2 linked regions of the Saccharomyces cerevisiae S288C genome follow. Changing the gene in region 2 together with the main gene of any one other region gives a genetic interaction. Each region holds a gene or a part of one and is shown on either strand. Other genes may lie near its edges. The genes, in order: SPS2 and YIR042C.

Region 1 (7,508 bases), on a different chromosome or scaffold from region 2:
ATGTAATTATGGTTGTGTATATTATGTTTGCAGCAAAATAAAATAAAAGGGCTCTAACTACAATATATTAATATAAAGAAATGTTATTCAATCTAGTTTGGGTATGAATTTTTTCCCTCTTAATAAAAATAGTTTAAGTAGTTTGTTCAGTCTTCTTATCGCTGGTAAACATTTTTTGGGAATTTGGTTTTAAACTATCAAAAAAATCCTGAAAAAAGTCTTCAAAGGAATTGAATTGGTCGACGTCAGGAATCATGAAGTGACTACTGGACAAGTTCTCGTGCAAAGTACCAACATTAGTAGGCGAAGTAGCGGGTTTCGCGGCGTGCAGATTTCCTGCTCCTGTGTAGTTATTAGCATTAGTCGACATTTTATCATTATCACTATTCTCTTTTGACAAACTGCCAAAATTAATACGAGTCTTACTAGTATCAATTATAGATTTTATGATTTTTCCAACGTTATCAGTAGCCTCATTCATTTTTTCCCCTATAGTGCTCAAATGCCAGTACACTTTTGTACAAAGACTCAAAACGCGTTGACGTTCAGAAGAATCGAACCAATAAAGATAGTCACAAAGAGTTAAACAGGCGTAGACTAGTTGATGACAAGTAAAAATCGGAGCACCCCTTATTAACGTTGGCGGTAGTCTCAAAAACCCATTCAACAGCGAAAATGAATGTTCTTTCATCGTATTAAGAATTAGTTTCAAAAACCTTTGGTTGCTTTTTAGCGTGGAAGAAAATTCTGTGATAAAAGTGCGACATATCATGATATGATAAAAATCAAATGTGAACAATAGCACGCCCGCGCCATCCTTTGCTAAAAGCTCTTCCCAATTTTTCAGCCAATAATTTAGCTCTGGAAAAACAAAGATAAAAGTATCTGCGTTACCTCCATATCTGTCATTGTTAAAGTCATCCAAACACTGCGCAAAATAATTTTTAAGGTTTATAAAGATGCCATTTACGATGTCACCTAAATTTATCTCACTGATTTTAATGTCATCACCAAAATTCGCCTGAGGAAATTTCGCCACAAGTTTATTAAACTCTTTAAGCATATCATCCTGTTCCCTAATATCGCCGTAACTAATGGAATATTCTAAATAGCAGGCAGTTAGTGAATTTAGTATTCTTAGATGATAAAGATCTTCGGGATTATACACTTCTTTTACCAAAACCCTATCCTTTATCTGATAAAAATCTATTACATGTAACAAGCTATTGAGCGCAAAATTGCTTAGTACCAGAGAATTAAACTTCAGTTGCCTATATCTCTTTGCCTTTCGCGAAATATGGAACATACAGCAATATAAAATAGCCTCAATATCAAACGCTGTTAACTTTTCAAACATGGTTAACGTATTAGTGAGTAATCTCTCCACTAAAGGATACAATATTTCTTGTTCTGCAGCGTATTTATCGTTGTCAGCAAAACTCATAGCGATAATAGTAAAAACACTTGTAATAAATAGGTGTGAGTGGGCATATTCCACGTCTATCTCTTTTCTCCCACCTGGAATTATCCAGAAATGGGATCTCACCAGAAATTCTTTTGCAAGCTTATGGCATAATTCCTGATTATTCTCATAAAAATGGAGAAAGTTCACTCTTGCAACAGCATATGGCCTTTGCTGTCCAGCTAGCTTCGCAGCTTTAGATGTAGCCTTCGATGGAAATAGCCTCTCATCAATATCATGTAGCAATTTTAAAGGAGATTCCTTCAACTTAAATCCATTTAAGAAAAGATTTTCTTTTCTATATTCCCCTGTTTTCCTTATCGTCTCTGAGCCCGAAGTTAGACGACTATCGTACGTCTTATTTGAGCTGAAATCCACGTTCTGAATATCATCTCCAGGGCCTTTGATATCGCTGTTATAAGACATCTTTGCTGTGGTGATTATCAAGTCCATTTTCTGGTGTAAAGATTTTATGTGCTCTTCTAAAGATGAAAGCCTTTTATCGATCATGTAATTATCAAAATTGACCGTTCCATTCTTTTCAAAACTACTTTGGCTTTCGTTGGGAGAGTCCGCATTCAAATGAGAGAAAGAACCAAGGTTGTGATTAATTGAGTTGATCTTCTTTAGTAGACCATCCTCACGTAAAGTATTCAAAATTTCATTGTCTTTATTCCTGGCTAAGGAGCAATCAAGCTGCAGAACGTTACATCTGTAACATTTTCCAATGAAAGGTTCAAAATCGCACCTTGTCTTCACTCTCCTGCAAGTATCACAACTAAATGTTTTTCTTTTCTTTCTAGGTTTTTTGTTGCCATTATTCTTAGGACTGTTCGTTTCACTGCGCTCTTTGGCTCTTGCACTATCCTCTGGGTGGTTTATTATGGATCTGATACTATTTCGCACCTTTCCAGAAGCAGAATTATATCCAGCAGTCATCGGTAAACCATCTGGTCTGGGGCTTACTGAGGCATTTGAGTTTATATCCATTTTTTTCCCTGATGTTCAGCAAACCGAAAGAAATATAAAATACAACTGGGAAAGATGTTTTAATGGTGAGTAAGCAAAATGTGAGTGGTTTTAACCCTAAGGAAGAACCGTATCAAAACACTATTTTTCAATTAAATCATCTACCTAATGAGCTCATTTTGTTAAGATGATCTACCATAATAATTATTCAAAAACTGTCAAAATTAAAAGGAGGGTAACAGTTTCAATAGTTTAACCAGTTTTGGTAATGCCTGAAATAACATAAAAAGCTGATGCTAAGTGGGCTACGCTATGCTCCAGGTGAAGATAATCAGAACACTACATCTCTACTGCAAATTTATATCTCATAAGAACTAAATAAAATGGCTAGTATTTAAGTTAATCTTCTAACCTAAAAAATTATCGAGAACAATACCGTGAAAACTGCATAAACTGACATTTTGAAAGCATCAATAAAAATGTTCTTCGGAGCACTGTTTTCCATCTTCTTTGAACTTCCTTGACTTTTTGCACCATTTTTTCCTTTTTCTTTCTTTCCATTATCATTGTCAGTTTCCTGCTTTCCTAGTACATTCCCCTCTTCATCAACATTCAGCATTTTACTTTTCATACCAGATGTGCATTCGATTTTACCGCCTCTTATGATCGAACGACCGGCTTTTGGTGATGTAAATTCTTCACAGTTTAATTCCTCAGATGAACTTTTGATATAAGCGCTACCTTTTACTAACTTTAGCTCTGGGAGGTCAATTTTATCAAAGCTACCTTCAAAATATATTGCACCGCCAATTTGCCTCAACTTGGGGAAGAAATCAATTTTGGCAAGCTCTGTATTGTTAGCAATCATTAGACCCCCTTGAATATCGGTGGCATTCGAAAAGTTTAGCTTTTTCAGATTTTTATTATCTATTAACCCCAACGTTCCTTGAACTTTTGCCAAAAGTGGTAGTTCCAAGCTTGAAAATTGATTCTCGATGAACTCTAGAGAACTGTTCACAGAGGAAAGTTTAGCTAGTTTAATTTCTGAAACGTCCTTAATGGTCATATTTTCAACCGTGTGTAAGTTGCTCAAATCAAGTTCCAGCTCTTTGGCATTAGAGTGGACGGTTAGTTGTTTAGTAACACTTTCTAAACTTGCGAATAAATTTTCTAAAAACCTGTTATTGTTGATATTGAAAATATCCACTTTCTTGACGTTATTGAAGTAATCGATGGAGGTTAATGCAGTATCAGATATGATAATATTTTTGATCTTTTTAATATTTCCGTTAATGACAACACTACTTAGAATAGGCAAAACTCTCCAATCAACGGTTTCAACTTCTTTTAAAGCGGGAAAGTCTAATGATACAAAGGAAGTTAGGCTATCCAATTCCAACTTTCCCAAAGACTCTAAATTATAACCCTGGATTCTAAAAATGTGTTTGTTATTCTTGATAATAAGATCTCCCTCTATCTCTCTTATTAACCCTAGATCAATAAGAGATCCGCTGTAGTTACTTGATATTTCAATGTTTCCTACCACTTTCCAACATTTAGCTTGCAGTTCAATCAAATTTCCAGCATTCTCAATATGATACAAGCCTTTTTTACAGTCTTCATCTACTTGTGTTTGTTTTGTTGGAGAAATCACCTCAAAATCAGTTTGTTCCTTTTTAGGGATCGTTGCATTAGTGTTAACCAACATAATGTTGTGATCTAGAATATTCGGTCCACCATTAGGTTCAACTGCAGCGGATGATTTAATTAACTGCAGAAACAAGAATAAAAATCTTAAGATTGTGTTCAACTGGTTCAACATGCTATCCTTTTCTTTTTTTGTAGAAACTTTGGTTTCTTTATTGACTATTTGAATAACAGAAATACTAGTGAAGAATGTTTGTGTTTTCCAAATTGGCATTTTCTTTTATAGTCTAAGTAATGCCACAAAATATTTTTTTTGAGACGCATCAATGACGGGACAGTAAAGACATAAACGCTCGATCAGAAAAAAAGAATCGAAAAAAAAAGGGAGAAATAAGCAGGTAAATAATCAAAAACACATGACTTTTTACTGTTTGTTATATAATTCAATATATCCATCCTTCATTTATTGAAGATGAAAGAGAATGGAAAACAAAAACTCATGCATATACACACATTATATATATATATCTATTTTTTTAAACGAATCCTTTCTTTATTGCTTCAATTCTTAGTGAGATCTCTTCTATAAAAACCTCATTAAATCCAGGAACGTTTGCCTCAGTTTTAATGAATTGCTTTAACATTTCATTTACGTATTTTCTTGTTTCATCGTCGCGCGCACGATCATACATTCTGTTGAGAATATGAGATACAATGTTTTTCAAGTAGTCAAACTTTTCTATCTTCAACGCCTGAATATCGTTCTTTTTATGCTTCTTATTATGATTAGAGAGAGGAACTATTTCGGTCTCTGCTTGAGCATTTGGGCAGCCTGAATCTATATCCATTCCTGAATCAAGCTCGAAAACTGGTTGCGTACATTTTCTAAATGATGAAGAACTTGGGTTGGTTATCGGCGTTACAGTTTGCCCATGAAGTAAATAAGGACTTTCCATATTTAAAGATGATGTTGGAGAGTCTTGTGTAATGGGAGATAATTCCTCTTTGGAAATTTGTGTTGTGCTTAGTCTTGTCGATTCAAAATTCCAAAATTCCTTTCCCCTCACTGTGTTGCTGTTTTTATACAAGCGATTTTGAAGAGGGTATTTGGGAACTTTTGTATATCTCTCCTGAACCTTTTTCTGTTTAATTAGATCAACATCACTTTTCAAGTTCGTTATGGTGATATTCTTAACAAATTCAAATGATAACAAGTTATATGCCGATGGCCGATCAGCAGGTGTTTTAACAAGACAACCAGCTACGAAATCCTTTGCTGCATCCGAAAAGGGACCTTGTAATTTTGGAGGCTTCCTTTTTGGTAAGTTAGTCATAACTTTCATAGGATCATATTTAGATAATGGGGGTAAGCCCTTGAGTAACTCATAGGTGGTGATACCCAAGGACCATATATCTGCTTTCTCATTATACCCATCAACTTCGCAGCAAACAACTTCCGGAGCCATCCAATACGGCGTTCCTACAAAAGTGTCCCTTTTCAAAGTGGAACGAATGTGGCCACTTACTCCGAAATCACCCAACTTAACCATACCTTCTTCATTTAGTAAAATATTAGCTGCTTTGATATCACGATGAATTTTCCTTTGCTCATGCAGGTATTTCAAACCCAAGGTGACTTCATGAATAATGAAGGAAACTTTTTCTTCAGGCAAACCGTTGACGTAACTTCGCTTCAGTAAATCTGAACATGATCCACCGCCGCAATATTCCATGACAATCCACATAGAGACATCTTCTAACATTGTTGCAATATAGTTTGTAATAAGAGGAGATTTCAATTCCGCCAGAAAAAAAATTTCCTGTGCTAACAGTTCAATGTCTTCGTCGGAATGCTCCAGGTTGACCACCTTAATTGCCACAATTTCTTGCGTAACTCTATCCACTGCTTTATACACATCACCAAAGTTACCTCTGCCAATACATGATTGGATGGAATATAGCTTCGATGGAGGGGTTCTTGACCTAATTGATATTTCTTTGCTTTCCATTTTGTGCTATTTTCTTTTGTTGTTTAGTAAATGAATTAGCTAGTAAAAAAACTAAATTTAAAAAGCAAATGCTGGTTTGCTTTCTTTTGAGAAATGTTTGCTAAGACAACTGACTAGCCAGGTGTTCACTAAATCGATAATATTGAAAATGGCAAAATAAGAAAAAAAAAGAAGAGAATTAGCTGGCTTTTTTTGGATAGGAAATATTAAATGAAGCAGTTGGAACCAAGATAATAAACAAAAACAGTATATTAAGTGACTCTTTAGTATATATCTGAACTAACAAGTAAAATATCGATGTTAGAAATGGTTACAATAGAAGAAAGTAGTGTCATTCTTTCGCGTCAAAAAAAAAAAATGGAATTTGTGTCTTTTTCGTTTTTATGTGTCATTTTTTTTTATCCCTGATGCCGCATTGTTCCGAACCTGGGACAGCTCCGAAATATAACTTGAGGAAAAAGTATTAGAAAAGGGAAAAAAATACAGTTAAATTATCATATATGTTATTTTTTGTCCTTTTTGGCCAATTTTAAAGACTTATGCATTGTTAATAAGTTTGTTGGGGACATCAAATTTTGAGAAGACTTAGGAATGGAGCTCAAACTCCACCTTTTACTTGCTGAGGCACTTCTTTCAGGTATGTTAACTCTCAAATCGTGTTTCTTATTGTAGGACGAAGCTGAATCTACATTTGAATGCATATTTAAATGCGGCCCTGATCTTGGACGAGAAGTATTTACAGCTTGGAATGTTCCGTACATCTCCAACTTAGTTTCCCAATATTCTAAAACCTTTGGAGACCAATTCGTAGTAATCTTCGGTAAATTATCTATATGAATACCATTGCACAATAAAAATTCTGTAATAAAAAAAATGGGCGTTCCATCAACAATTTCATAGTGCTTTAGGGAATATTGAAAAATGGAAGAATGGTTTAGATCATTCTGCTCTTTTTCGCTTGCCGTCAATTCTCTTAGGGAATATTTACTTTGGGCGATGGCTCTTTGCATCATGAAAACACTATCTAAATGGATAGCTTTAATTAAAGACTTCAAAGAAGCCTCTCTGCCTTGGTTGCTGTCGATAACAAACTTTTTAAATTGATACTTATCAATAATGAATTTGGATCTTTCCGAGTCATCAGAATTTGCAGTTATTTTTTTAACTGGAAAGTTCCTGAGATTGCTTTCATAAATGGCATTAACATTACTATTGGAAACATTATTTTGTAAAAGATGCATCAACTCTAACGAGGTGAAATTATCCAGCGTTAAAGATCTAATTTTGGAGATATGTGAACCCAGAGATCGATGAACGCCCGAACATTTGATACACAATATACACAATAAATTGATTGACACCCATTCTACTGTTGCGGTGCTACCGCAGTCACAACACTTCAAATTAGATTTATCAATTTT
Region 2 (6,561 bases):
CATCTATTTTGCCAAGTAGGAGATAATGTAATATGTAGAGGGATCGAGATTTACTGAAGCCTCACGTGAGGGCAATCTGGAATCAGATTGCACTGGTTTGCACCATACCTCTCAAAGAAGAAAACGTACTACTTTTTTAGTTGAGTATGGATAGGGTAGTGTTTCCTAAAGTTATAAGGTAAAAGGGGCAGAGGAAAAGTCGATAATAATTTGAAAGAAACTTGCTTCCATATTCACAAAGGAGCTGGATACTTCATGTCATCCGCACATATATCTACAAAAATTTCAACTTTTTGAGGTTGATACTAAGTCTTTCGCTACCAAAATGAAAGAAATCAATTTGGAGAGACTTAGGCTGAATATTTCCGCGTTCTCTCTGGGGATGAAAGATTTCTTACTGCAAAGAGTTTCAGTATTTACGGATTGGTTACAATTTTTTTTTTTTATCATAATCAATTCTTTGAATATCAACTTCTCTCAATACCATCCGCCTCTCAGCGGCTACAATTACGTAATTGCACCAAGGCCTTCGCCGAGAGTTTACATATTTGCAGACCCTAACAGTATACGACTCCCAACACACGTTTAATGTTGTACGAATTCAAGAGATAGAAATATTTCTTGCATGGAAGCCGTTTAGAGCAGACTGAATATGGGCTTAGACAATAAGCTTCTGTACGAGGGTCCAAATCTAAAATTCGGATATTCTTTTTGACCGAAAAAGGAAATGTCACAGGCACAGAAAAGGGTTTTATAAGGCACCTCGGCACCCTATAATTGGCATTCCCACATTCTGCGCATACGAATACACATGAGTGCCATAAAACAATACTCCACATACGAAGTCTATGAAAGATGTATGATTCGTTCAGAAACAAGGTCATCTCCATAGAGATAATGAGATTGTGTGAAAGATGAGATATGGAGGATATGTGAGGTGCTAAATGAGCACCTGTTAACGAATCGTTTAAGTAGTGATGACTGATGAAGGCATGGGTATAAATAGAGCTGCTTCAACTGTATGTCTTTGAGAATATGTTTTTATTCCTTTCTTTCCTGTTAAGCTTATATCAGCACTAAAAAACAAAACAAATATAATGGTCAAATTAACTTCAATCGCTGCTGGTGTCGCCGCCATCGCTGCTGGTGTTGCCGCTGCCCCAGCCACTACCACTCTATCTCCATCTGACGAAAGAGTTAACTTGGTCGAATTGGGTGTTTACGTCTCCGATATCAGAGCTCATTTGGCCCAATACTACTTGTTTCAAGCAGCTCATCCAAGTGAGACCTACCCAGTTGAAATTGCTGAAGCTGTTTTCAACTATGGTGACTTCACCACCATGTTGACTGGTATTCCAGCTGAACAAGTCACCAGAGTTATCACTGGTGTTCCATGGTACTCTACCAGATTGAGACCAGCTATCTCCAGTGCTCTATCTAAGGACGGTATTTACACTGCTATTCCAAAATAGAGACATGCCTTTACGAATGAGATTCCATAGACATTGAAAGTAACGAAAAAATGAAATAAAAAATGCTTTCAATATAAATACAGCTGATTACATATAAACATATATTAATATTATAAATTCATTTGCTTTCACGAACTACCGGCTGGGCGTCAATATAATAGGGAACGCATAGTTGCTCTTTTATCTTTCTCACAACTAGGGGTTTTTTTATGTGAGCTGTACGGAATAGGCCAGTTTTACAACAGGATTCGTAGATCAGAATCCGTTCAAGCTATTCACCTGTTACAGCAGTAGAGTTGCTCTTGTCTTGACCCGTGAATATTAAATACTGTAGAACCAGAACGGATACTTGAATATATTCAACGATGGGAAAATAAAAAGACATATAAGAAAAATGTGCTAGTACGGTAAGGAGGATACTGAAAAGAAAAGGAAAATATAGTTTAAAATAGTAAAGATAACCCACTTTCGTTATGGGTTTAGTGAGGGTTGGTAACGAACCGTAGCGCGGTGTAGTATGCTGTGAATAATTGTACTTTAGCATAGTTAACATTACAATCTTTGTACGTTTATATAACAAATATGATAGAGTATGAGAAAAATTAAATGATACATTTTGAGGTTAAGGTTGAAACTATTATATGGAAGAAAGGTGGAATATAGTTAGGGCCAAAATGACACTATAAATGACATGATGTGAGCCTTAGTAAGGTGAGAGCTACGCTTCCTGGTTTAAATCAAAACCGAGAGCCCAAAATATTATCGGTATCGACGTAACATTTCAATGTCATTCAAGCTTAAAGGAGATCAGCGCAAATGCGTGAAGTCTTAGTCATTGTAAATGCGATTTTTCTTTGTTGAAGGTGAAGTCGGAAAATTCACATGACTGCAAAAAAATCCTAGTCTACAGTATGGTAACCAAAAAATGCTATATATACATATGTCCTGCATGAAAGAGAGGGCGAGTTTTCAGTTTGACAAGCTTTCTCTTATTGCTGCTATTCCTCTCTTTTGTTTGCCATTTTCAAAATTTGTTTTGTCTAACCATTCTTCAAAGGTTTTACGAATGCGTAACCATTCTTTATCGATTATTGAAAACCATTGAGTGTCGCGAGTGCGACCCTTATATACCACCACTTGTCGAAACGTGCCTTCATACTTAAAGCCTAAGCGCATCGCTGCCCTCCTTGACGGCCCATTTAAACTATCACACTTCCACTCATATCTCCTGTATTGAAGATCATCAAATACATACTTCATTAACAGAAATTGAGCTTCAGTTGCAATAATCGTCTTCTGTAATTCTGGTGAAAAAACAACATATCCAACTTCTAGTGAACCGTTGGCTTCATCGATTCTTATTAAGCACAATGTACCAACGGCACGTTCAGTCTCTTTATTAATAATTGCGAAAGGCACAGTATCTTTAGTTTCATTGAGTTCCTTAATGAATTCTAGATATTCCTCCAAGTTAGTGAATGGTCCCGCAGGTAAATACGTCCATAATTTTTGGCCTGCCTCACTATAGGCACTAAAAAGTTCCGAACCATGTCTTTCTCTATCTAGAGGTTCTAGTCTGCAAGTGTTACCTTTCAATACAACTTTCTCTGGGAAGGCCCTTGTTGTCCAACCTTCGACGTCAGCACCAACTTCTTGCCCAAATATATTTAAATTCGCCATAATTGTTTCTACTGAAGGGCATTATTTCCAGGTTCAGAGGCGGGAAAATTCTTGCAAGGCGTCCTCCCATGCTATTTTTATATCATTGTTGATTGTTTATCAACCTCTTATCAACCTCCTATCAACCTTTGAAGAATGGCTCAAAAAAAAAACAACCTTCCATTATGAACCAATAAACAGAGCAAATATCACGTGCACAAAGAACTACGAACTTTTTGACTTTCACACTGGCGATGATCCAAGACGTATTACAGTACAAGAGATCTGCTTTATTGTAAGCCCAGTAAACAGCTTCTTATAGACTCTGCAAATATAGGTACAGAGTTTGCATAATTTTCTAATATACACTTATGCCTTATGATAATCCCAATTTTGAGAAGGAGACAAATTCAGCGAGTGGCGTATAAGTGCGTGCGCTATTGAAACAAATCTCACATAAATGTGTTTATGATCAGCAATAACCTTATCGATGCAACAGAAAATGTGATTCGCGAAATTTGCATCTTTCTTTTCAAAAAATATTTCAAAAACAAATTGCCAAGAGATGATGAAAACAAATCACTCAATTCAAGTTAAATAAGAACTCGTGTATATATAGAAAATATGAGGAAATGTACTCCATTTCAACTGCTTGACTTTAAAATGATGCTGGCTCATGAGAAGCCTCCAAGAAATAATATCGGTGTTACTATTCCAATACTTTCGATCCGCTCTGTGCTAAATAGGCAAACTCAAAAGTAATAAATACATACACATATTACGGAGATTTGTGCCTTTAAGGAATATAAATTATAATTATCTGCTAGTTTACATTTTAATGGCTCCAAACATTTATTTTCTAGAAGTGCTCCTTAATAAACAATAATCTTAAAAGAATAATTATGGAGCGTGTCCGGTTGTAATTAATACTCAGTAATTATATATAATTTGAGAATTATGCTCGTGTGCATTTTCTTCCAATATATTATACTCTGAACCATGTCGTGCTGTGTGCATAAAATTGCTCGATGAAAATCTTAACCCACCTTTTAGGTTGAAAAAAACATGTTCACTTTTTCACTAAAGACTTGTTACCACGGATTGTGCTTCTTTAACGTATGGCCATAGCTCAACGTTCAACGAAGCAAACCACATAGTTTTTTTTAAAGATAAAAGGCGATAGAAAAAGCAGCTAAAAAACCATTCACAGTCAAGTCCATCGTAGAAAAACTCTTCATTATTCCAGACTTTTTTCTCAAACAAATACCTATTCATTTTCTTTGCAATTTCGTCCCATCCATTCGCACCGCTTTCTTGCTCATTTATAATAGTTGACAAGAACTGCATCTTGTGTTCCATTTTAACGGATAAAACAATCATTCCCATATTTTGGAAATCTCTCGTCATGATAAAAAACATTACTACCGGAAACAAGAAACGTGATATAAGGTCAACATTTCCAGACGTGTAGACAATTAAAAAATAATAAAGGAAGACTTGTAAACACCGCAGCTTGAAAATCCTTTTAAGAATCCAGGTAAGCTTAAATCGGTAAGCTTCTTTGGGAAGTTTAGCATCTTCTAGGCCAACAGGGCTCCATGATTTTTCAGTATTAAACAACTTCCATTGTTTTTCAACTTCTGTAAAATAAACTCCCAATGCTTCTTCAATGTAAGAGACGGAATCCTTAAATGACTTAACCTTGGCAGCTTCGTCTTTTTTCAAAGAGAAGGGTTCGAGAAGGGTTGTTCTGAACGCTTCTTGGCAGCCCATGGCATTGAAGAAAAAGTACCTAGTATTCCAAGCCTTATTTTCATATAAGTACGAATTTAGATTTGCTGCAACGATTTCCCAATTATGAGTATCCAAACTTGGTGCGTTTTTAGTAATATCTTTGCAAAACTGAGTGAGTTGTTTCGATAAGGAGCGCTTACGAGAAGGTTCACGAATAACAAGGAGAAATATTGGTCCCAAAACCAGGACAAGAAGTGAAACTATAAATTGGTAAACCCAATTGTTGGAAAGTTTCCATCAGATGCTAAGTGGTAGCCATAATAGCATCCAGATGCGAAACGCTAAAGACTTGTAAATTTCATAACAAAACCAGGTCAATTCGTTTCGGAAAACATCCTGGGGTAAAACAGTCTTTTGGGATTCGAGCTGTTTGAAGGATAACACATCTACGCTTTTCTCATCTTTGACTTCATTCTCTTTCATTTGGTAGTGAGATGGCAGTTCGAGGTTTTTTTATTCAAAGTAATAACTTCTTCCTTTTCGCTTTTATGTAGCAGAAAAAAAAGCCGCCGAAGCGCGCGCGTTCGTGCAATCTCATGATAGAAAAAGGGCAACAATGTTGGGCTATTTTAGACAAAGAAACTCAGCTATTCGAAAAGGGCATCCATTTCATTTCCGGTTTTCTATCTAAGTTACTCGATAGTCGTAATAATACTTTTATAAAACTTTAATGCGGGTACTTTGAGAGCGTGTCATAACTTTGGCTTACGTTTTAAGGTGCGACCGGCAATGTCACTGCTCGCACAGCAGTTGCCGCCTGAAATGAAACACATATTTAAGCGTAGATTGCCTGTGAGAAAACTGTGTAAACATATAGTAGAAAATAGACGTAGCTGTCACAAATATTTACACGGGAAAGAGTCTGGCCTACGAGTATCTTACATGAAGATTCATAGAACCAATTTATTTCCCTATATTGATAACCTTTCGATACCATTTTAATGCCTTCTCCTTATGTTTGTTGTCACTGTAAAACGGATCAAAGCAAAAACTTAGAGGTATGGTGGTACTCAGATCATGCATGACCTCTGGGTAATTACCACTTCTCCCGCTTGTTTTGAGATTCTGTATATAAATATTGCAAACAAAAGGATAGAGCGCAAATGACAGACCTTATAGTATAAATTGTTCGTTTAATCATGCGTCAGTGTGAGATTCCATGACAATAGTATGGGAAGATAGGGCGAAGTGAAAATATCTGTATGACTATAGAGTGCAGTTATATTACAATATATTAAATAGAGCATAGTGGTACGACGATATTAAGGAACTTTTACATTAATGACGTCATGGTAGTGCTCATACTTCAAGTCAAAGTGTTTATTTCGTAAAGTTGAAAGGTAAAATATTTTTATGTTTAGGTGATTTTAGTGGTAATTTTTCTGTAATATTGACATAAGTTTATAAAAATTGAGTGGTTAGTATATGGCGTAAAAGTGGTATAATGTATGCATTAAGAGCAGTTATACAATATTTGGAGCCGCTGAATGAGATATAGATATTAAAATGTGGATAATCGTGAGCTTTATGGGTAAATGGCACAGGGTATAGACCGCTGAGGCAAGTACCGTGCACAATGATGTGAGTGCATTTGTACTGATTTAGTGAGAGATGGGCCATGGAGTGGAGTGGAATG

The links.
Region 1: mutations in YIR042C (region 2) and SPS2 together harm fitness more than expected from each alone (negative genetic interaction), as found in Saccharomyces cerevisiae (2 studies listed by BioGRID).

The regions. Positions count from the first base shown.
Region 1 is NC_001136.10:1,480,952-1,488,459, forward strand, and holds SPS2 (Sps2p), read right to left. Parts: upstream 4,353-7,508; coding exon 2,844-4,352; downstream 1-2,843. Other genes in the region: URC2 (Urc2p), read right to left, coding at 134-2,452; putative serine/threonine protein kinase SPS1, read right to left, coding at 4,615-6,087; GTPase-activating protein AGE1, read right to left, coding at 6,591-7,508. UniProt on the Saccharomyces cerevisiae protein: Involved in middle stages of meiosis. Redundant with SPS22 for the organization of the beta-glucan layer of the spore wall.
Region 2 is NC_001141.2:432,832-439,392, forward strand, and holds YIR042C (uncharacterized protein), read right to left. Parts: upstream 3,153-6,561; coding exon 2,442-3,152; downstream 1-2,441. Other genes in the region: seripauperin PAU15, read left to right, coding at 1,098-1,472.